Linked DNA regions of Elephas maximus indicus. The protein of the gene in region 2 binds, or shares a complex with, the protein of the main gene of each other region. Links are inferred from orthologs where the notes say so. Each region holds a gene or a part of one and is shown on either strand. Other genes may lie near its edges.

The links. The genes of interacting proteins can lie anywhere in the genome.
Region 1: POLR3C (region 2) and CRCP share a complex: the UniProt entries of both Homo sapiens proteins name them as parts of the RNA polymerase III complex. The link is inferred for Elephas maximus indicus from reciprocal best matches to the Homo sapiens genes POLR3C and CRCP.

What each region holds. Positions count from the first base shown.
Region 1 is NC_064830.1:103,354,911-103,365,054, reverse strand, and holds the start of CRCP (DNA-directed RNA polymerase III subunit RPC9), read right to left. Parts: upstream 4,472-10,144; 5' UTR 4,362-4,471; coding exon 4,354-4,361; intron 1-4,353. UniProt on the Homo sapiens protein: DNA-dependent RNA polymerase catalyzes the transcription of DNA into RNA using the four ribonucleoside triphosphates as substrates.
Region 2 is NC_064821.1:157,753,411-157,762,939, forward strand, and holds the start of POLR3C (DNA-directed RNA polymerase III subunit RPC3), read right to left. Parts: upstream 3,842-9,529; 5' UTR 3,752-3,841; intron 2,475-3,751; exon of another isoform or gene 2,390-2,474; intron 2,299-2,389; 5' UTR 2,278-2,298; coding exon 2,131-2,277; intron 1,626-2,130; coding exon 1,370-1,625; intron 1,260-1,369; coding exon 1,074-1,259; intron 53-1,073; coding exon 1-52. Other genes in the region: E3 ubiquitin-protein ligase RNF115, read left to right, coding at 4,271-4,360. UniProt on the Homo sapiens protein: DNA-dependent RNA polymerase catalyzes the transcription of DNA into RNA using the four ribonucleoside triphosphates as substrates.

The DNA.
Region 1 (10,144 bases), on a different chromosome or scaffold from region 2:
TATTTTTAAATTCTGCCATCCAATCTAATAAAGCATATATATCATCTCCCTTTTCAAAATTTCTGGTGTATGTTTTTATGTGTTGCTCACTCTGTGACTGAAAAAAACAGTAGTCAGAACTCAGGGGAGTTTTCCGTTCCTGCCTTGTCATCCCTGACGGACACAATGTGCTCGCTCTCAGACTCAGCATTCTGCTGCAGATCCTGAGGACCAGGCTACGAGAGGTCACGCCTGACGGGCAGGAACTAGAAGTCAGGCCCCCAGACCCTTCCATTCCAGGGGTGCTCCCACTCCCAGAACCTAGAGCCTCCCTCCCAAAACTCCATTTCCCCATAAATTGCTAGCTGCAAAATTCTTGACTGGTTTCAAGAAGTCACTGACTCCTTGGGAGAAGGGGACAGGTTGTTAAATGAGTAAAAAACCTTGATTCAAACCATTTCACTTAGAAAAATCAGAAAATCTATATGCCTAGCAATTAGGATACTAGCTAACCCATTTTTACTTATTAAACTGATGAAGTATCGCAATATTACTTTATTCAACAAGTATTTGCTGAATGCCTACTGTGTGCTACATGCAGTGCTAAGCAGGAGGTGAACAAACAGAGGTTGGTCCCTGCCCTCCTGGAGCTTACACTCTGGTGGGGGAGACAACCCAGGCACTAAACAAGTAAACACGTTATCTATTGTAACAACTTATAATTATTTAAGTGGAAAATAAATGAGGGTGCTGTGAGAGACAAAAGAAGACTTATTTTGAATTGACTGAAAAGGAAAGACAACTTTTAAAAGAGACACTCAAGCTGAGCTATCAAAAAGATAAGGAAGCTGGGAAGGGGGAGACACATACCAGGCAGAGGAATCAGCAAAGCAAAAATTCTGAGGTAGGAAAGGACTTGGAAGGTTGGAGGAACTTTCCGACTGCCCGCATGGCTGGAGTACAGTGTGTGTGTCTGGGAGGTAGGAAGAGTGGCAAGAGATAAGTCTGGTGAGTAGCCAGGTTACACAGGGTCCTGTAAGTCTCCTTGTAAAAACTGCATGGTGGGGGCATCTGACCTCCTCCAAATTCAGGAGGGGGAGAAGAGAGAATCAAAATCAGCAACAGCAAAAGGCTGATTCCTATGAGGTGGATGTCAAACATACCTCCACCCTCCAACCTTTTCACCAATTCTGACATCAGCCATCCCTCCCACAGCACTCTCTACTCCTTTGCTGGGTTTGGTAATTCAGCACAATGGCCACACAGAACTCAAAGACAATACTCATGACAATGGGGTTAATTAGGCCAATAACAGGTTACAATCCAGGATCAGAAACGACTCAGGATACAGTTCTTTGAACAGGACAGCCTCTTCTCAGCCATGCCTGCAGGCACAGGCCTCTCCCTGGCTTTCAGCCCCTCAGCCTGGCCTCTGCCCTGCTTGGGCAAGTGTTACAAAGTTCTCTAGCTCCGCCAATAAGTTCCTAGAGACACCCTACTCTGCCCGGAAGCTTTGGTCTTAAGGTGCTCAGCTCACTGGCTCTGTGTCTGCACACCCGCCGCAAATGCCTTACTCCACGGGCCAAGAAGCTCACTGTGCCTTCTGGCGCCAGCCTCCTGGTTCTGCTGCCGCCATCTCTTGCCATCTCCAGTGTTGCAGCTCTCTGTCTCCTGGGTCTAGGAGGTTCTCAGTGCAGGGATCCCGAGTTCAAAGGATGAGTTCCATTCCTAGCTTTTCTTTCTTGGTAGTAGTGAGATTCCCTTTTCTGCCTCTGGGATAGCTCATTTTAAGCCTAATGGGATGGCAAAACTGACCAATCCCCTCATTAGGGTTCCATACACGTTATTTGCATGGCCCCATCCCCACAAGGGTGCCATGTACCTTATTTGCATTAGCTACAAGTTGCCCAATCCCCTTGGTGGGCCACAAGCACCTTATTTGCATAGCCCCACCCAATCATTGTGTGGGAATCACAAAGAGTATGCCTAAACGGACCATATTAAGTAGTTCACTGCACTGTAATCCTAATAAGGAATTTGGATTTCCTCTAAGTGCAATGGAAAGCAAATGAAGGGTTTTACAAAAGGGGTGATACAATCTAATACTTTAAGATCGTTCTTTCAAATGAAATGGAAGTGGACAAGAGGGGAAGCCAAATGCTGTTGCTTAATCCAGACAAGAGATGAAGGACTAGAAAATTAGCAGCAGAGATGGTGAAAAATAACTACATTCAAAACGTATTCTGAAGGTGGAGGTAACAGTCCATGATGGACTGGATTTAGGGGTGAAGGAAAAGGGGACTAGATTTTTGGTTTAAGCAATTGAATGGGTAATGGTCCTAATAACTGAGATACAGGTTAGGTTAGGTAAGGACCAGGAAGGGAGCATAAGTAGTTCTGTTTTAAAACTGCTAAGTGTGAGTTGCCTTTTAGACATCCAAGTGGAGGTGTCAAGCAAGTAGAAGAGAACAGGAGCCTAGAGCTCAAGAGAGAGAACAGAACTTAGAAACATAATTTTAAGAATAATCAGCATATAGGTGGGTAAGATGACCAAGGGAGAGTGTGAGAGAATGCATCCCAGGACTGAGCCCTGAAACTTCAACATTTAGGAACCAAACAAGGGAGAGGTGGCTCCAGGAAAGGACTGAGTAGTAGTCCTTGATGTAGGACGAAAACCAGGAGAGCATGCCATAAAGCCAATGAAGAGTTTCCAGAACAAATGAGTAGGTAAGTATAGCAATTGCTGCTGAGAGATCAAGAAAGGTGAAGCCAGAAAATCAACCTTTGGATTTGACAAGACAGAAGGAAGACTCAGGTCATCTTCACAAGAGTCACTTCTGCACACTGGAAAGGATGAAAGTCCAACTCAATGGCTTAGAGAGTGAGGATAAACAGCACTTCCAAGAAGTTCTGCTGTGCCAGGAAGCAGAAATGAGGCAGTAGGTGGAGACCTGAAAGTGGACTATTCCAAGGTATTTCAAGATGTATAAATTAAAACAGGTTTGTACGCTAACAGGAAATGCTCTAGCAAAAACGGAGAAATTGATGATGCCCGCTTGGACCAGAATAATACATAATTAGTGTTTTTCAAGGTGTAGATTGAACCCCATTGTGGGTTGTGAAATCAATACAGTAGGTCATGTGGACATCCTTTTTAATGAAACAGAACAGACAGTATCAGAGTGAACTGCATACAGTAAACATTGTTTCATGTAACTTTTGTTTCAATTACGCTTAGATGTGTTAAGGTTAAAAAAAAAAAAGGTCTGCACAGCATATAACCATTAAACATAAGATGAAAGAACACAAAATAAAATGTGTGTATTAAATAATCAGTGCTATACCAAAAACCCAAACGAAACCCACTGCCATCGAGTCAATTCCGACTCACAGCGACCCTACAGGACAGAGTAGAACTGCTCCATAGTTTGCAAGGAGTGCCTGGTGGATTGGAACTGCCGACCTCTTGGTTAGCAGCCGTAGCACTTAACCACTACGCCACCAGGGTTTCCATCAGTGCTACGGAGAACACAATATAGGTATGTCTTCAAGTTAACGTCAACCACGTAAAAACCCATCCGCGGGGTTGATACAAAAACTTCTATTTGCATGTAGTACAATGGGCAAATATGGAAAAAACAACGTCGAGTTAAATTGTTAGAAGAGCTTTTACTCTGTCCTGTAAACACGCAAGAAACCCTGGTGGCCTGGTGGTCAAGTGCTATGGCTATTAACGAAAAGGTCAGCAGTTCGAATCCACCAGGCGCTCGATGTAAACTCTTTGGGGCAGTTCTACCCTGTCCTATAGGGTCACTATGAGTCGGAATCCACTCAACAGCAATGGGTTTGTTTTTTTGTTTATTTTTTTTAATAAACACAACCCCACACAGGGCTGTTTCTCCAGTCGAGGCTCACGCTCTCCCTAACTGCTCGTCAAACTTGGATGGCACCTCTCCCGAGTTAGGAAGGCACAGGGGCCTCCTGCCCGCAGGAGCACTTCCATCCCAGCACTTCTCCGCCCCCCTCCTGGTACTCCCAGGGGTGTACTCCTCTCCGAGTCCCCGCTCGGATACCGGCCCGGGTTTCCCACTGTGACCCAGAAAACGCTTTTAAACGAACGGGGCAGAGAGAAGGCACAGAGGAAAAAGCAGCCGGGCCCAGGGGCGCTCGGCCCGGTGTCCCAGGTACAAAGGCTCGGACGGAAGCACGAGTCTCTCTCTTCTGCGCCCACCTGGACCCCACGGGCCCTCCCCGACTGCGGTTCCCCCATGCGACGGGTCGCCCCATCCTCCCGTCTCTCGGCTTTCAACGGTCCAGTCGCCCCTAGCTGTTAGCGCCGGCTCCAGACTCCAAAACGCGTCCCGGGTGGCTTACACTTCCATGTCGTCCCCGTCTCGTCGCCTCCGGCCGCCAGGTGACTAAAAACCTCAACCTGAGCCGCCACAACTCCAGCTCTCCACGCTGAGCACCCCCTGTCGCCGGTCTGCGTCGCGGTGCATGCTGGGATCGCCGCGCTGCACGCCGGGAGCCCTCAGGGGGCGGTGATGGGGCGGGGCTTCAGGGAGCAGGAAAGTATCTGTTTAATCAGCGTGTTGGGTACGCGAATGCGTTCAGTGTCTGAAAATTCAGGGAGTCGTAGACTTCTGTGCAGTTTTCTGTACGTGTGTTACAATTGAATAAAATGTTTTTTAAAAGTGGAAAAAAAAAATCCCAGCCCCCCCCCCCCCCAACCCGTTCCCATTTTTCCTTGAGGGTTTACTGGCAAGAGATATGAAGAGCCTTAAAGCCAGCCACAGTCTCTGACTGTGGGGCCTTTCTGGGAATTTCTCCAAAGGGAATTATCAGATGCTTGAAAGAGAGAGATGTATGTGTAGTGATGTTTTTGCTGGGAAATGACCGAAATGCCCAATAATGGGGAATCGATTGAATTATGTTACAGCCATACAATATATGCAGCCATGAAAAATCATGTAAAAGATGTGATATGCTAGGAAAATACTCAAAGTAGGATTGAAAAACATACAAAACAACGCGTGCTTCTAATTATCTACAGAAAAATAACCAACCAACGAAGCAGTTGCAGTCAATTTGATTCTGACTCGTGACGACCCCTGTGCCAGAGCAGAACTGTGCTCTACAGAGTTTTCAACGGCTGATTTTTCAGAAGTAGATTGCCAGGCCTATCTTCAGAGTGCCTCTATGCATAGGAAAAAAAAATGCCTAACGGTATGGGAGGTAGAGCTATCCGATTTATTACATTTTATGACTTTAAAAAAAATGGCGATTGTGGTGGATATCTATTATCATCTTCGTATGTTTGAAATATTTCTTTAAAAGACTGGAAGGAAATATCTGAAATATTAATGATGGCAGGTGCCTTCTGATGATGAGTCAATTGCTGATTTGTTCCTTTTTTATACTTTCACGTTTATTGATTCTCAAGCTCATTCTCTTTGCAAGGCCCTTGCTAAACAATTTGTTACTCCATGGAATTACCAGTTAACGGTGCGGGCTTTGCAGTCAGAGAGCCCGTGTTCCTGTTTACCCCCAGAACTTTCTTAGAGGATGTTTGACCTTGGGGACTTAACCTCTCCCAGCGTCAATGACCTAATCTGTAAATCATAAATCTGTTAGGTAATCCATATAAAGCTCAAGAAATTTTAAAAGTACACCCATGACACTCTACCCAACCCAGTTTCATTATTATTCACATTTTACAATTGAGGAAACTGAGGCAGAGGCTTGGAGAGATTACTATTTACCCAAGTTTCTCACCTCCAAACTTGTCCAGTAGGGATTCAAACCACACAATCTGAACAAATACAGGAGGCATATTAAATTGTTAATAGTGACTGGTGAATTGATAAAGTGTCCTATATTCATACAATAAAATAATACCATTTGGAATAAAGTACTTACTGACACATGGTATAACGTGAATGACCCTCAAAACCATTGTGCTAAGGGAAAGAAGTCATTGTATGATGTCATTTCTATGAAATGTCCAAAATAGTCAAATCTATAGAGACAGTGTTATGGATCGAATTGTGTCCCCCCAAAATGTGTGTCCACTTCCCAGTATTGTGTGATTGTCCAGCATTTTGTCATCTCATGTGATTTTCCTATGTGTTGTAAATCCTACCTCTATGATACTAATGAGGCAGGATTAGAGACAGTTATGTTAATGAGGCAGGACTCAATCTATAAGATTAGGTTGTATCTTGAGTCACTCTCTTTGAGATATAAGAGAGAGAAGAAAGCAGAAAGACAGAGGGACCTCATAGCATCAAGAAAGTAGTGCCAGGAGCAGAGCACATCCTTTGGATCCGGGGTTCCTGTGCCGAGAAGTTCTTAGACCAGGGAAGATTGATGACAAGGACTTTCCCCTAGAGTTGACAGAGCGCGAAAGCCTTTCCCTGGAGCTGGCACCATGAATTCAGACTTCTAGCCTCCTAAACTGTGAGAGAATAAATCTCTCTTTGTTAAAGATACTCACTCGTGGTATTTCTGTTATAGCAGCACTAGATAACCAAGAAAGATGGAAAGTAAATTAGGAGTTGCTTATGGCTGGGGGTGAGGAGGGGAATTAGACAGTGGCAGCTAATGGGCATGGGGTTTCTTTTAGGGGGTTGAAAATGTTTCAAAATTGAATTGTGGTGATGGCTACACAACTCAGTGAATATACTAAAAGCATTGAATTTTCCACTTTAAGTCGGTGAATTGTACGGTATGTGATGTGATACATCAACAGGGAACTGCCAGAAATTCAAGCCAGATTCAGAAGAGGACATGGAACCAGGGATATCATTGCCGATGTCAGATGGATCCTGGTTGAAAGCAGAGAACACCAGGAAGATGTTTACCCATGTTTTATTGACTATACAAAGGCATTCGACTGTGTGGATCTTAACAAACTATGGATAACATTGCGGAGAATGGGAATTCCAGAACACTTTATAGTGCCTATGAGGAATCAGTACATGGATCAAGAGGCAGTTGTTCAAAAAGAACAAGGAGATACTGCGTGGTTTAAAGTCAGGAAACGTATGCGTCAGGGTTGTATCCTTTCACCATCCTTATTCAATCTATACGCTAAGCAAATAATCTGAGAAGCTGGACTATATGAAGAATAACGGGGCATCAGGATTAGAGAAAGGCTCATTAACAACCTGCGATACGCAGATAATACAACCTTGCTTACTGAAAATGAAGAGGACTTGAAGCACTTACTGATGAAGATCAAAGACTACAGTCTTCAAGAAAATATTCTGCATTCCACTTTGGTAAGTAGTATCTGTGATCTTAAAACCTACCGAGTGCCCATCTAAGATGCGTCAATGGGTCCCAACCCACCTGGAGCAAAGGAGAGTGCATAACACCAAAGACACAAGGAAAATACTAGCCCAAGAGACAAAAAGGGCCACATAAACTACAGACTCCATCAGCCTGAGACCAGAAGAACTAGTTGGTGCCTGGCTACCACCAACGATGGCCCTGACAGGGAACACAACAGAGTCCCTAACGGAACAGGAGAAAAGTGGAGTGCAGAACTCAAATTCTAGTAAAAAGACCAGACTTAGTGGTCTGACTAAGCCTGGACGAACCCCAGAAGACATGGCCCCTGGATGCTTTGTCAATCCAGAACTAAAACCATTCCCAAAGCCAACTCTTCAGACAAAGATTCAATTGGACTATGAGACATGAAATGATACTCGTGAAGAGTGTGCTTCTTATTTCAAGTGGGTACATGAGACAAAATGGGCAGCTCCTTTCCGTAGGAGAGGTGAGAAGGCAGAAAGGGACAGGAGCTGGTTGAATGGACACGAGAATACAGGGTGGAAAAGAGGAGTGTCCTGTCACATTACAGGGAGAGCAACTAGGGTCAATAATAATGTGTATAAATTTTTGTATGAGAAACTAACTTGAGCTGAAAACTTTCACTTAAACTACAATTAAAAAAAAAAGAAAGACTACAGGCTTCAGTGTGGCTTACATCTCAACATAAAGAAGACAAAATCCTCACAACTGGACCAATAAGCAACATCATGATAAATGGAGAAAATACTGACGTTGTTGAGGATTTCATTTTACTTGGATCCACAATGAACAGCAGCCACCTTTCAGTTAGCAGCCAAGCACTTAACCACTGCGCCACCGGGGCTCCTTCCGTTAACGTTGTTGTTGTTAGGTGCCATCGAGTCGGTTCCGACTCATAGTGACCCTACGCACAACAGAACGAAACACTGCCCAGTCCTGAGCCATCCTTACAATCATTGTTATGCTTGAGCTCATTGTTCCAGCCACTGTGTCAAAACACCTCGTTAAGGGGTCTTCCTCTTTTCCGCTGACACTGTACTCTGCCAAGCATGATGTCCTTCTCCAGGGACTGATCCCTCCTGACTACATCTCCAAAGTATGTAAGACACAGTCTCGCCATCCTTGCCTCTAAGGAGCATTCTGGCTGCACTTCTTCCAAGACAGATTTGTTCATTCTTTGGGCAGTCCATGGCATATTCAATATTCTTCTCCAACACCACAATTCAAAAGCGTCAACTCTTCTTCTGTGTTCCTTATTCATTGTCCAGCTTTCACATGCATATGATGTGATTGAAAATACCATGGCTTGGGACAGGCGCACCTTAGTCTTCAGGGTGACATCTTTGCTCTTCAACACTTTAAAGAGGTCCTTTGCAGCAGATTTGCCCAATGCAACGCGTCTTTTGATTTCTTGACTGCTGCTTCCATGGCTGTTGATTGTGGATCCAAGTAAAACGAAATACTTGACAACTTCAATCTTTTGTCCGTTTATCATGATGTTGCTCATTGATCCAGTCGCGAGGATTTTTGTTTTCTTTATGTTGAGGTGTAATCCACACGGAAGGCTGTGGTCTTTGATCTTCATTACTAAGTGCTTCAGGTACTCTTCACTTTCAGCAAGCAAGGTTGTGTCATCTGCATAACGAAGGTTGTTAAGGAGTCTTCCTCCAATCTTGATGCCCCGTTCTTCTTCATATAGTCGAGCTTCTCGTATTATTTGCTCAGCATACAGATTGAATAGGTATGGTGAAAGAATACAACCCTGACGCACACCTTTCCTGACTTTAAACCACTCAGTATCCCCTTGTTCTGTCCGAACAACTGCCTCTTGATCTATGTAAAGTTTCCTCATGAGCACAATTAAGTGTTCTGGAATTCCCATTCTTCGCAGTGTTATCCATAGTTTGTTATGATCCACACAGTCAAATGCCTTTGCATAGTCAATAAAACACAGGTAAACATCCTTCTGGTATTCTCTGCTTTCAGCCAGGATCCATCTGACATCAGCAATGATATCCCTGGTTCCATGTCCTCTTCTGAAACTGGCCTGAGTTTCTGGCAGTTCCCTGTCGATATACTGCTGCAGCCAGTTTTGAATGGTCTTCAGCAAAATTTTGCTTGTGTGTGATATTAATGATAAAAATTGTTCTATAATTTCCACATTTGGTTGGATCACCTTTCCTGGGAATAGGCATAAATGTGGATCTCTTCCAGTCAGTTGGCCAGGAAGCTGTCTTCCATATTTCTTGGCATAGACAAGTGAACACCTCCAGCACTGCATCTGTTTGTTGAAACATCTCAATTGATAGTCCATCAATTCCTGGAGCCTTGTTTTTCACCAATGCCTTCAGAGCAGTTTGGACTTCTTCCTTCAGTAGCATCGGTTCCTGATCATATGCCACCTCTTGAAATGGTTAAATATCGACTAATTCTTTTTGGTATACTGACTCTGTGTAGTCCTTCCATCTTCTTTTGATGCTTCCTGCGTCGTTTAATATTTTCCCCCATGGAATCCTTCACTATTGCAACTCGAGGCTTGAATTTTTTCTTCAGTTCTTTCAGCTTGAGAAACGTCGAAAGTGTTCTTCCTTTTTGGTTTTCCATCTCCAGCTCTTTGCATGTGTCATTATAATACTTTGTCTTCTCGAGAGGTCCTCTGAAATCTTCAGTTCTTTTACTTCATCAATTCTTCCTTTTGCTTTAGCTGTCCGACACTCAAGAGCAAGTTTCAGAGTCTCCTCTGACATCCATCTTGGTCTTTTCTTTCTTTCCTGTCTTTTCAGTGATCTCTTGCTTTCTTCATGGAGGATGTCCTTGATGTCATTCCACAACTCGTCTGGTCTTCGGT
Region 2 (9,529 bases):
TTCGGCTCCCCAGCAGCATCTTCCTCAGATGATCTCCTCCTTTTACCTTTTCCTTCCAAATAAAACAGAACAGTTAGGCTACATCTCACGTGATGACAAGAAATGACCAAACATAAGAACCAGTGTCTCTTCATCCTAAGCTGCCTCTAGGTTAGAGTTGCTTAGGAGGCTGAGGAACTATAAGAAACGCAAGTAAATGATGAAGGCATCTGAAACTCAACATGTTCAAAAAGAAATTCATAATCTTTCTCCTTCACACTGGTCTTCCTCCAATGTTTCCTTTCACAGCGAATGGCATACATCCTCCCACACATGCAAGTCAGATGCCTAGATGATATTCTTAATACCTCTGCCTCCATCACCCCTTCTATATTTAGTTTTCACTGTTCTGTCCACATTTACCATTGTCCCATCCTCCCATCCTTTCTGTACACAGTAACATCTTTTAAAAATGTAAATTAGATCATGTCACTTCCCTGCTTAAAATTCTAAAGTGGTTATTCCTTGCTTTTAGGATAAAGAACAGATGCTCTGTACAGTGCTGCTTGATCTGGCCCCTGCCTATCTCTCTAACCTTACGTCTCTCTTGCCTTTGCACATCATGCTTTAGTGACACTGACCTTCTTACGGTTCCTCAAACATCCTATTTTTTTTCTCCCTACATGCTATTCCCTTTGCCAAAAATGCTTACCTTTGTACCCCTCCATGCTCCCTCATTGGTTGGCTCCTACTTCAGCTTCAAATCTTAGCTGTGATGTCATTTTCTCAAAGAAGGATGTGCCCTAAGCCCTCAGTCCCTGTTATATATTATAAAAGTATAACACTCTATAGTTTTCCTTCACAGTATTTATCACAGTTTGTTATTCTATATTTACGTGATTATTTGATTAATGCACATCTCCTATACTAAAGTCCCGTAACAGCAGGGGTCACGCTGGTTTTTTCATTATTATATACCACAACTTCTGCACATACCAATCACTTGATGAATACTCGATTCATGCATTCATTTAAAAATGACGAAGAGTCCACAGTTAGGACAAATCACAATTTGAAAAGTCAAAATTCCTTACCTATCAAGCTCAGTTTAGGAACTAGGTACATGTCCTTTTCATTAATGACAAGAGTGGGAGCAGGTGGCGGTGGCCCAGGGTCTGAATTCTCAGTGGCAGGTACCAAGGGACAGCGCTGCACAAAGTGTGTGTCTGCCAGTCGCACAAAAGTGTTTGATACCTCAGCATAATCCATGGTCTTGCCATCTGTACAACAGGAGCAAAGGGGCAGATTAGACGGTCTAAGATAGCTAAGGGTCTGCTCCTGCAGCCCCATAATCTAAGCTTTGGCTAGCAGCTGTGGATACAGTACTGACCCTCCATTGTCTCTGTGAGCCGGTCTGCCACTTTCTTCACGACAGCTGACATTGTCATTTTGCCATTCAACAGCAGCTCCTCAACAATTAGCTCTCCAGTGTCACTGTACAGCGTTTTGGAAGTATAGATGTACCGGGGATACCTCAGCATTCGTAATACCCGGCTGCACTGGGCTTCATACTCCACCACACCACGTTTGTGTACTTGGTATGTCACCAGGTTATGTTGGATAAGGACACAAAGGGCTTTTTTAACCTAGGTAGAACCCAAAGAAAGAGAGACCTGAAGACATAGCTCAATATTGCTGGCAATTTTTGTCCAACGGTTTTCTAAGCACCAGGAGATAGCTGGAGAGGAATCTCTGTGCTGCTTCTCTCTCCCCTGGAGTAGTTAATAAGAACCACATGTCAATGGAAGAAATCTGGACAATTCCTTCCTGATGCTTCTATTCCCTCTGATTCTTTCAAAGTACAATTTGCTCTCTCTCTCTCATTCCTTAAAGGTAGTACTGAGATTAATAGAATCATAGTAAACAAATGAGGCATGGAATGGGAAGAGGAATGACTTGCCTAAGAAGCCACAATGAACTAGGAACATTTTGAAAAGCAGGACCTTGGGGCTTAAGTCCCATTCTCTTTCCCCCAAACAACATGGTTCTGATTCTAGGGCAGGTTTCCTCCCTTTTCCATTTTCTTGGGTGGGCAGTAACAATATTTAAAGGTAGGTGACAGAAGTGTACATTAATGCTATTTAAACATACCTGATCCAGTGATGTTCCTGTGTCATGGGCAATTACTCTTAGTGGTTGGCTACCAGTTCTGATTAGGTGGACTCCAATTTTTTCTACGATCTCTCCAAAATGCTCTTGCAGCAACAAAGAACACAGCTTAATTTCTGCTTGGGTCATTGTACTTGAGGGGCTTCAGAGCTAGGAAAAAAAGTATATGATGGGAAATTTTGCTTTTATGTTGCGTGTAGAGCGTGTTTACTGTAGACTTGCTGAGTATAAATTCACGTACTCTTTCTGGAGGGTGATGTAGCAATATATTTCAAAAGTCTTAAAATCTTGCACACTTTTGGCCCAGCAATTTCATTGTGAGTACTCTGTCCCCAGGAAATAATAAAAACACGTCACTGTAGTTCTCGTTAAAATACTAGAAACAATCTAGTATCCTAGCAATAAGGACTCAGTTCAATAAATTATGGTATCTCCATACGATAGAATACTATACCCACATTTAAAACGACATATAGTATGTATGTGTTAACAAAAAAGTTGTTCATAATGTATTAAGTGAAAAAAGCAAGTTACAAAGCAAAACGTGGAGTAAAATTGAATTATTGTAAAAACAAACAAAAAACACGTATGCATAGAAAACAAGGCTAGAATGTGTACAGCATCAAATTTATCTTTATGAGATTATGTACGATGAAAAATTTTTTTTTAAGTTTGGCTGTAGATGGTTTTGTGATCTGTCACAGACCTTAGATTCTATTGCTTGGAAGAAGTGAGTGTTCACAGCCCACTAGGAGTGACCAGGCAGTGTCAGTCCCAGTTGGTTAAGGAAAATGAAATTAGGAGGTAGAGCTTCTTAACAGGACAGGGTCCTTCAAACAGGAGATGAAGTATGCTGTTTACAGGGCAGTATTTAATTATGAAATTTCTACTCCTTGACAAAATAGACACAAACCAAAATGGACATAGCTAATTATACGATTAAACCACTTGCACTGGAGTCATTCTGGCTCATGGCAACCCCACGTGTGTTAGGGTAGAACCGCGCTCCGTAGGGTTTTCAACGGCTGATTTTTCGAAGTGGATCACCAGGCCTTTCTAAGGAAATGCCTCTGGGTGGATTCGAATCTTCAACCTTAATGCTTAACTGTTTGCAAAACCCAGGTACTCTTTTTAGGGTTACTTCCTTATGATCACAAACCCAACCAAAACCCACTGCCGTCGGGTCGATTCCGACTCATAGCGACCCTATAAGACAGAGTAGAACCGCCCCATAGAGTTTCCAAGGAGTGCCTGGCGGATTCGAACTGCCGACCTTTTGGTTAGCAGCCGTACCACTTAACCACTACGCCACCAGAGTTTCCTTTTGATCACAAGCTGCTACGAAATACTGGTTGATTCGTGTAGTCCTCCCAACCCCTCAGAATCCAAGTGTTTGTCTCCCAGCCTCAGCGTCGCCAGAGACCTATTTCACCCATCCACATGTCTTTGGAAAAGCATCCCCAGGCCCTTAGCCATCCTCGAAGAGGATTCCTAAGGAGCTTGGCTCCAGCATCTCCACTCCCTTCACGCAGGTTCGCGTTCCGAACTTGGTCTCTTGATCCAGAGCCAAGGCCGCTTCGTTCATACGGCATTTCCCACTAACCTCAGGGTCAATGCAATCCGGGGGCTCCAAACCTAACACCTCGAGTTCATCCCAACGACTTCGCGCGGCTCCCACTAGCCTCCCGGGCAGAGGGAGAGCCCACAGCCCTTTCTCGCAAGAAGACCAACACCCCGGAGAACCAGGAAGCGGTAAAATTGGGGGCCGCTCTACCCCAGAGTTTCAGTGGTTTCCGAGACGCTCTTTCTTTCTTCTCGCTGGAAGGTTGGAGGACCGACGAGGGGCTGTTTGAGGACCCGGCGGGGCGGGCCGCGGCTGGGGGACTCTCTTGCGCCTTTTTGGTGCTGGGGGCGGGCCGCGGGGTCGCGGGCCGCGCCGGCGCCGTCTGGCTGAGCCCAGCGGACTCACGTGACCGACGCGGACTCGGGAGCCGCGGGTCGCACAGAGGAGGCAGCGGTGGCAGCGGCAGCGGCAGCGGAGGCGGCGGCCGTAGCTGGCTAGCAGCGGCCTGGCGAGGGACCGGCCGGCTGCCGTGTCCGCCAGCCGCGGCGGAGGAGGAAAATGGCGGAGGCCTCGGCGGCCGGGACTGCTGTAGCCGCGCACCGGTTTTTCTGCCACTTTTGCAAGGGCGAGGTTAGCCCGAAACTACCGGTAAGAACGCGGTGTCCTCTGCGCTCGGGCACCTGCATGGATTCCTCCTCCCGATAGCCCGGAAACAGGTCTTAAGCTTCCTGCACTGCCCTGATTCCGCTGACTCGGTCCCCGAATACCTGCTGCCCACCGTCTCCGGTCGTTTGTCCCAAGCCCCGGGCGCCGCGGCCCGTATTTTTCTCCTCGGATGCTCCATTTGCCCCTTATTCCATTTCCTGTCTTTACCTGACCCCCTCCTCTTTTTGTCTTCCTTAGCAGCTTCTCCTCTGACAACTCTTCTCCCAATTTTCTTGCACTCTTCATCTTGTCTCCTTCCCACGATGACCTCTCTTCCTCCCCCACCCCATTCTCCTTTGCGCTTTTGCTTCTCACCTTCCCCTATTTCCTTCTCCACTTTTCAGCAGCTCCCTCCTCCCCCTTGTCCCTTCTCCTCCTCGGTGAAGTTGAATAGCGGATTGCTGATGATTGTCACTATTCGGTTGTCTCTAAGGAAGGAAGGAAGAAAGCACGGAAAGGGAGTATTGGAAAGTAAACATAGGGAGAAGAGGGCGATTTTGCTATTCAGTGGTTTCCAGGGTTTTTGCGAAAGTGAAAACAGCAGTGAACTAATGACTTGCAGACTTCCTGAGCTCCCTATCACTTTGGAAGAGAATGGCTTAAGGAAGGAGGCGGAACATATTGTTTCAACTTGGTTTATTTTAGTTGTGATGTTGCCAGTGTCACCTTCCTCACCCACTTCCCTTACTTAAAAAGAAAAAAGATTTAGGACAAAATGTTGGGGACTGCATCCTCTGATACAAAATTGGTTTCACCAGTTTCTGCCAGACTGTTAGCCTCCTAGAGAGGTAGTTCACTGGTTTTGAGGAAAACGCTTTTGCGGCATGCTAATCAGCTCCAGCACCCCAAACCTGAAGCTGTTTTGGGTTGGGTATAGCTGCTGGGGGGAGACCCACCAGGGCGAATGTTAGTTCTACACTTGACCAGCTGTTTTTAGAATTACTTATGGTTGTTCCTTTCCTTAAAAGTCTTTAGGTTTAGTGTTAAGACAGGGTAGCTACGCAAGATAACCTGTGTATTATCTCAGATGCAATCTATGAGAAAGCCTACTGAAGTGTGTCTGCGCGTCTTCTTCTTTCATAGAAACACAAATGGAGTCCAGTGAATAAGCGCCTAAAGGATATTTCTTGCCTTTTCATCTGAAAGTTGTGCTTTTTAAGGCTTTTCCAGCGTTTTTCTTTTCTATCTGCCTACCCCCAATTTCATAGTCATAATTTCATCTAAATGCTACTTAGGTTTGGTTTCTGATTTGGCTGTATGTGTGTGTGTGTGTTTGCTATATTTTAGTGCTGGCAAGAGCAGGTGCCTTGTTTTTTCCCAGCAGACATCAAGAGTTCCCAGAACTCTCACTGAGGGGGTCTGAATGCAGCTAGTAGTGAATAGTGACATGTTGTTGAATGTGATGCCTTATTGAACACTGCAGTCTGAAGCTCTTCTGATCTTTGAGACACTGCTGGTCCTTGCTTTTAAGAATGAGAAAACTTAGTCCAAACCTCCACAATTTAGTATATCTTTTCGTCTTACCACCTGAAGTCCTCACTTCAAAATGCCCTCGGAAAAGTATAACTTGAAAGGCTTTTTAGGTGTTTTTCTAAGCCTTAGAAGCCTGAAGGAGAATTTTTGATATTTCCAAAGTCTGGTTTATTATCTGTCTTGCCCTATTTATAAATTGAAGCCTGACATGGTTAAATATAACTGAATACTTTTTATGTGCATAGAAGGCTCTACTGGATGTTTTGGAGGTGATATGGAAGACTATATGGTCCCTGCCCTTAAAGACCTCCCAATCTTGTTGAGAAGACAAGACAAACATGAGAAAAATAATGTGAGGTGAATGACAATGGATAGTTTGTGAGAGAGCAGGGTGTGGGACAAAGAACTAAGTTTGACCTTTTGTATCTGGTTCTGAAAATAGCCTGAGCAGTTAAGGTGCTCTTTGCCTTTCTAAAATAGCCAGGCAAGTAGGGGCTGTACAGGCCCCATATCTAGCAAACCAAACTGACTTCAAGAAGGGAGGGGGAAGTGATGCAGTCATGCGTATTCGTTGAGGTCCCAATGACTAAGGTACTCTGGGCCTTGAAATCCCTTTTCGGGGGGCTTCCAGGATCAGTCGGAACATCCACGCAGGGGAGAGGGTGAGTGAGGTTTGTGCCTGGGGACAGTGGATCTTGTCTGATGTGTCTCTTTGCTTGTATCCTTTCTGGTTATAATAAATGGGTAGCTGTAAGTATAGGTAATGTTGTCATTGTTGTTAGGAGCTGTCCAGTAGATTCCAAGTCATAGTGTCCCCATGTGCTATAGAGCAAAACACTGCCAAGTCCTGTGCCATCCTCACAATTGTTGCTCTTGGAGCCCGTTGCTGTAGCCACTGAGTCAATCCGTCTTTTAGAGGGTCTTTCTCTTTTTCACTGACCCTCTTCTTTACCAAGCATGATGTCCTTCTCCAGGGACTGATCCCTCCTGATAACATGTCCAGAGTACCTGAGACAGGTCTTGCCATCCTTGCTTCTGAGGAGTATTCTGGCTGTATTTCTTCCAAGACAGATTTATTTGTTCTTCTGGCAATCCATGGTATATTCAATACTCTTTATGAACACCATAAGTATAGGTAATAAAATAGTCTCTGCAAATTTTGTGGGTTCGAACTGCTGACTTTTGCTAGCAGCTGAACGCTTTAACCACTGGACCACCAGGGCTGCTCGCTATGCATTAGGCATGCGGTGTTTGCTGAACTGGATGAATGTCATGAGAAACCTGGGTGTCTCTCTGAGGATAGCCAGATGCTGCTTATCTTATCATGAATAAAATATTTCTTTGTTATGACTGAATTTGCATCTCAAGAGGGTACTGACTTTTTGTGTGTTAGTTGGATGACAAGGTCACCCATGGCTTTAGGCCTCTCAGAACAACAACTGAAACTAAACCCACAGCCTTCAGGTCGATTTCAACTTACAGTGACCCTATAGGACAGAGTAAAACTGCCCAATCAGGTTTCCAAGGAAGCAAACTGCCACATCGTTTTCCCGTGGTTCGTAGCCGAGCGCTTTAACCACTGCACCACCAGGGCTCCTTTTCTCAGAACACCAGAGGCTGGGTATTTACATTAACTTTCAATGAACTACTGCTAGGAAGTTTTCTTCACCCAATCAGTGAGAAGGACTGCTTCACAGCTGTTTTATCTTTTACTGTTTATCCACCAACAGAGCCATGTTCAGTGGGGCTAGGTTGAAAGGTTTTCCACTATTCCCTTATTTTCTCTTCCCAATCTTTGGATACAGCACTTCTTGATATATTTGGAAGTGTGTGCAGACAGTAGCAGTAGCAGTAGCTTACCCAAGGTTCAACTCAGAAACTAAGTTTTAGTTTATTGTTTTTCTTGTCAGTTCTGCTACTCTGAAAGATTCATGGACCCAGCTAACTTTAGTGTCTGTGTTAAGAGAAATAGTTTTGGCTATAACTTTTGAGAGCTTGGAGCATGCGTAATGCTGTGTAGGTTAAACTACATGTAGGTTGAGTTTATTTGATTTGATGAAATAATATTCCTTACTGCTAATCCTAAGGAGCCCTGGTGGTGCAGTGGTTAAGTGCTCAACTGCGAACCTAAAGGTTAGCGGTTCAAACCCACCAGCTGCTCCTCGGGTGGAAGATTCCCTCCCCCTCAGAAAAACAAACCTATTGCCATCGAGTGGATTCCCACTCCTAGCGACCCTACAGGACAGAGTAGAATTGCCCCATAGGGTTTCCAAGGAGCACCTGGTGGATTCGATCTGCCGACCTTTCGGTTAGACCCTGTAGCTCTTAACCACTACACCACCAGGATTTCTTCCGTAAAGATTACAGCCTTGGAAACCCTATGGGGCAGTTCTACTCTCTCCAGTAGGGTCACTGTGAGTCAGAATTGGGTTATGGGTATTGCTAATTCTGATCTAGCAATTTTGGCTTTGTATGTCTGGTTTGGATCCTCCCACATAATAGGACACAAGATTCATTTAGAAAGAAGTTATAAGGAGAACTCGTGAAGGGCATTAAAAAAAAAAATTGTGCTTATTTTATTGTGAGAATATGCACAGCAAAACGTACACCAATTCAACAGTTCTACATGTAACATTCAGTGACGCTGATTATGTTCTCTGAGTTGAGTAACCACTCTCACTCTCCTTTTCTGAGTCGTCACTTCCTTATTAACATAAAATCACTGCCCCTAAGGTTCCTGTCTAATCTTTTGAGTTGCTCTGGTCAGTTTGGTCTTATGTAGATAGTTCTTAAAAGAGCGTAATGCTTTAGGAGAACGTTTTTTTACTAGTTAAGCTAAAGTGGTGTTTGGTTTTAAGACTTCAGGGAATGTTTTTGGTTTAAGGTTTAAACAAAGGGGGTTTTAAAATGAAAATACACTTAGTGATACTGTTATCTGTTAAGCTTCAAAAAAGTCTCCATTCTAGAAGTCAGTATTGATATAAGCATTTTCTTATTTAAAAATTTTTTTTTTTCTGCTTAAAGTGAAAATAATTTTAGTAAAGTTAAATGGGTACTAAACTTGAATTTTAAAGTGAGATAGTCTGAAGCCTCAGGGCTTTAAGTTTATGTATAATGGGTAAAATGACATGTGTGTTTTTGGTCATCAGATGATAGAATAAAATACTAAGAAGGCCAAGACTAATGGAGTTACCACGTAGATTTAGGGATGACTGGAAGCCCTGGTGGTATAGTGGTTAAGTGCTACGGCTGCTAACCAAGAGGTGAGCAGTTCGAATCCGCCAGGTGCTTCTTGGAAAGCCTGTGGGGCAGTTCTACTCTGTCCTACAGGGTCGCTATGAGTCGGAATCAACTCGACGGCAGCGGGTTTGTTTTTTTCTTTTGTTTGGTAAGGTGTTATTCCATCCCTACACTCTACACCCCCTCCCCCCCGCCGCTATTTTAAATCAAGGTCAGGTAGCACTACCTGATGAAATCGAATCTGGTAGCTCTATCATTATATAAAACCAAAAAACTAAACCCACTGCCGTCGAGTTGATTCCGACCCATAGCGACCCTATAGGACAGAGTGGAACTGCCGCACAGAGTTTCCAAGGAGCGCCTGGCAGATTTGAACTGCCGGCCTCTTGGTTAGCAGCT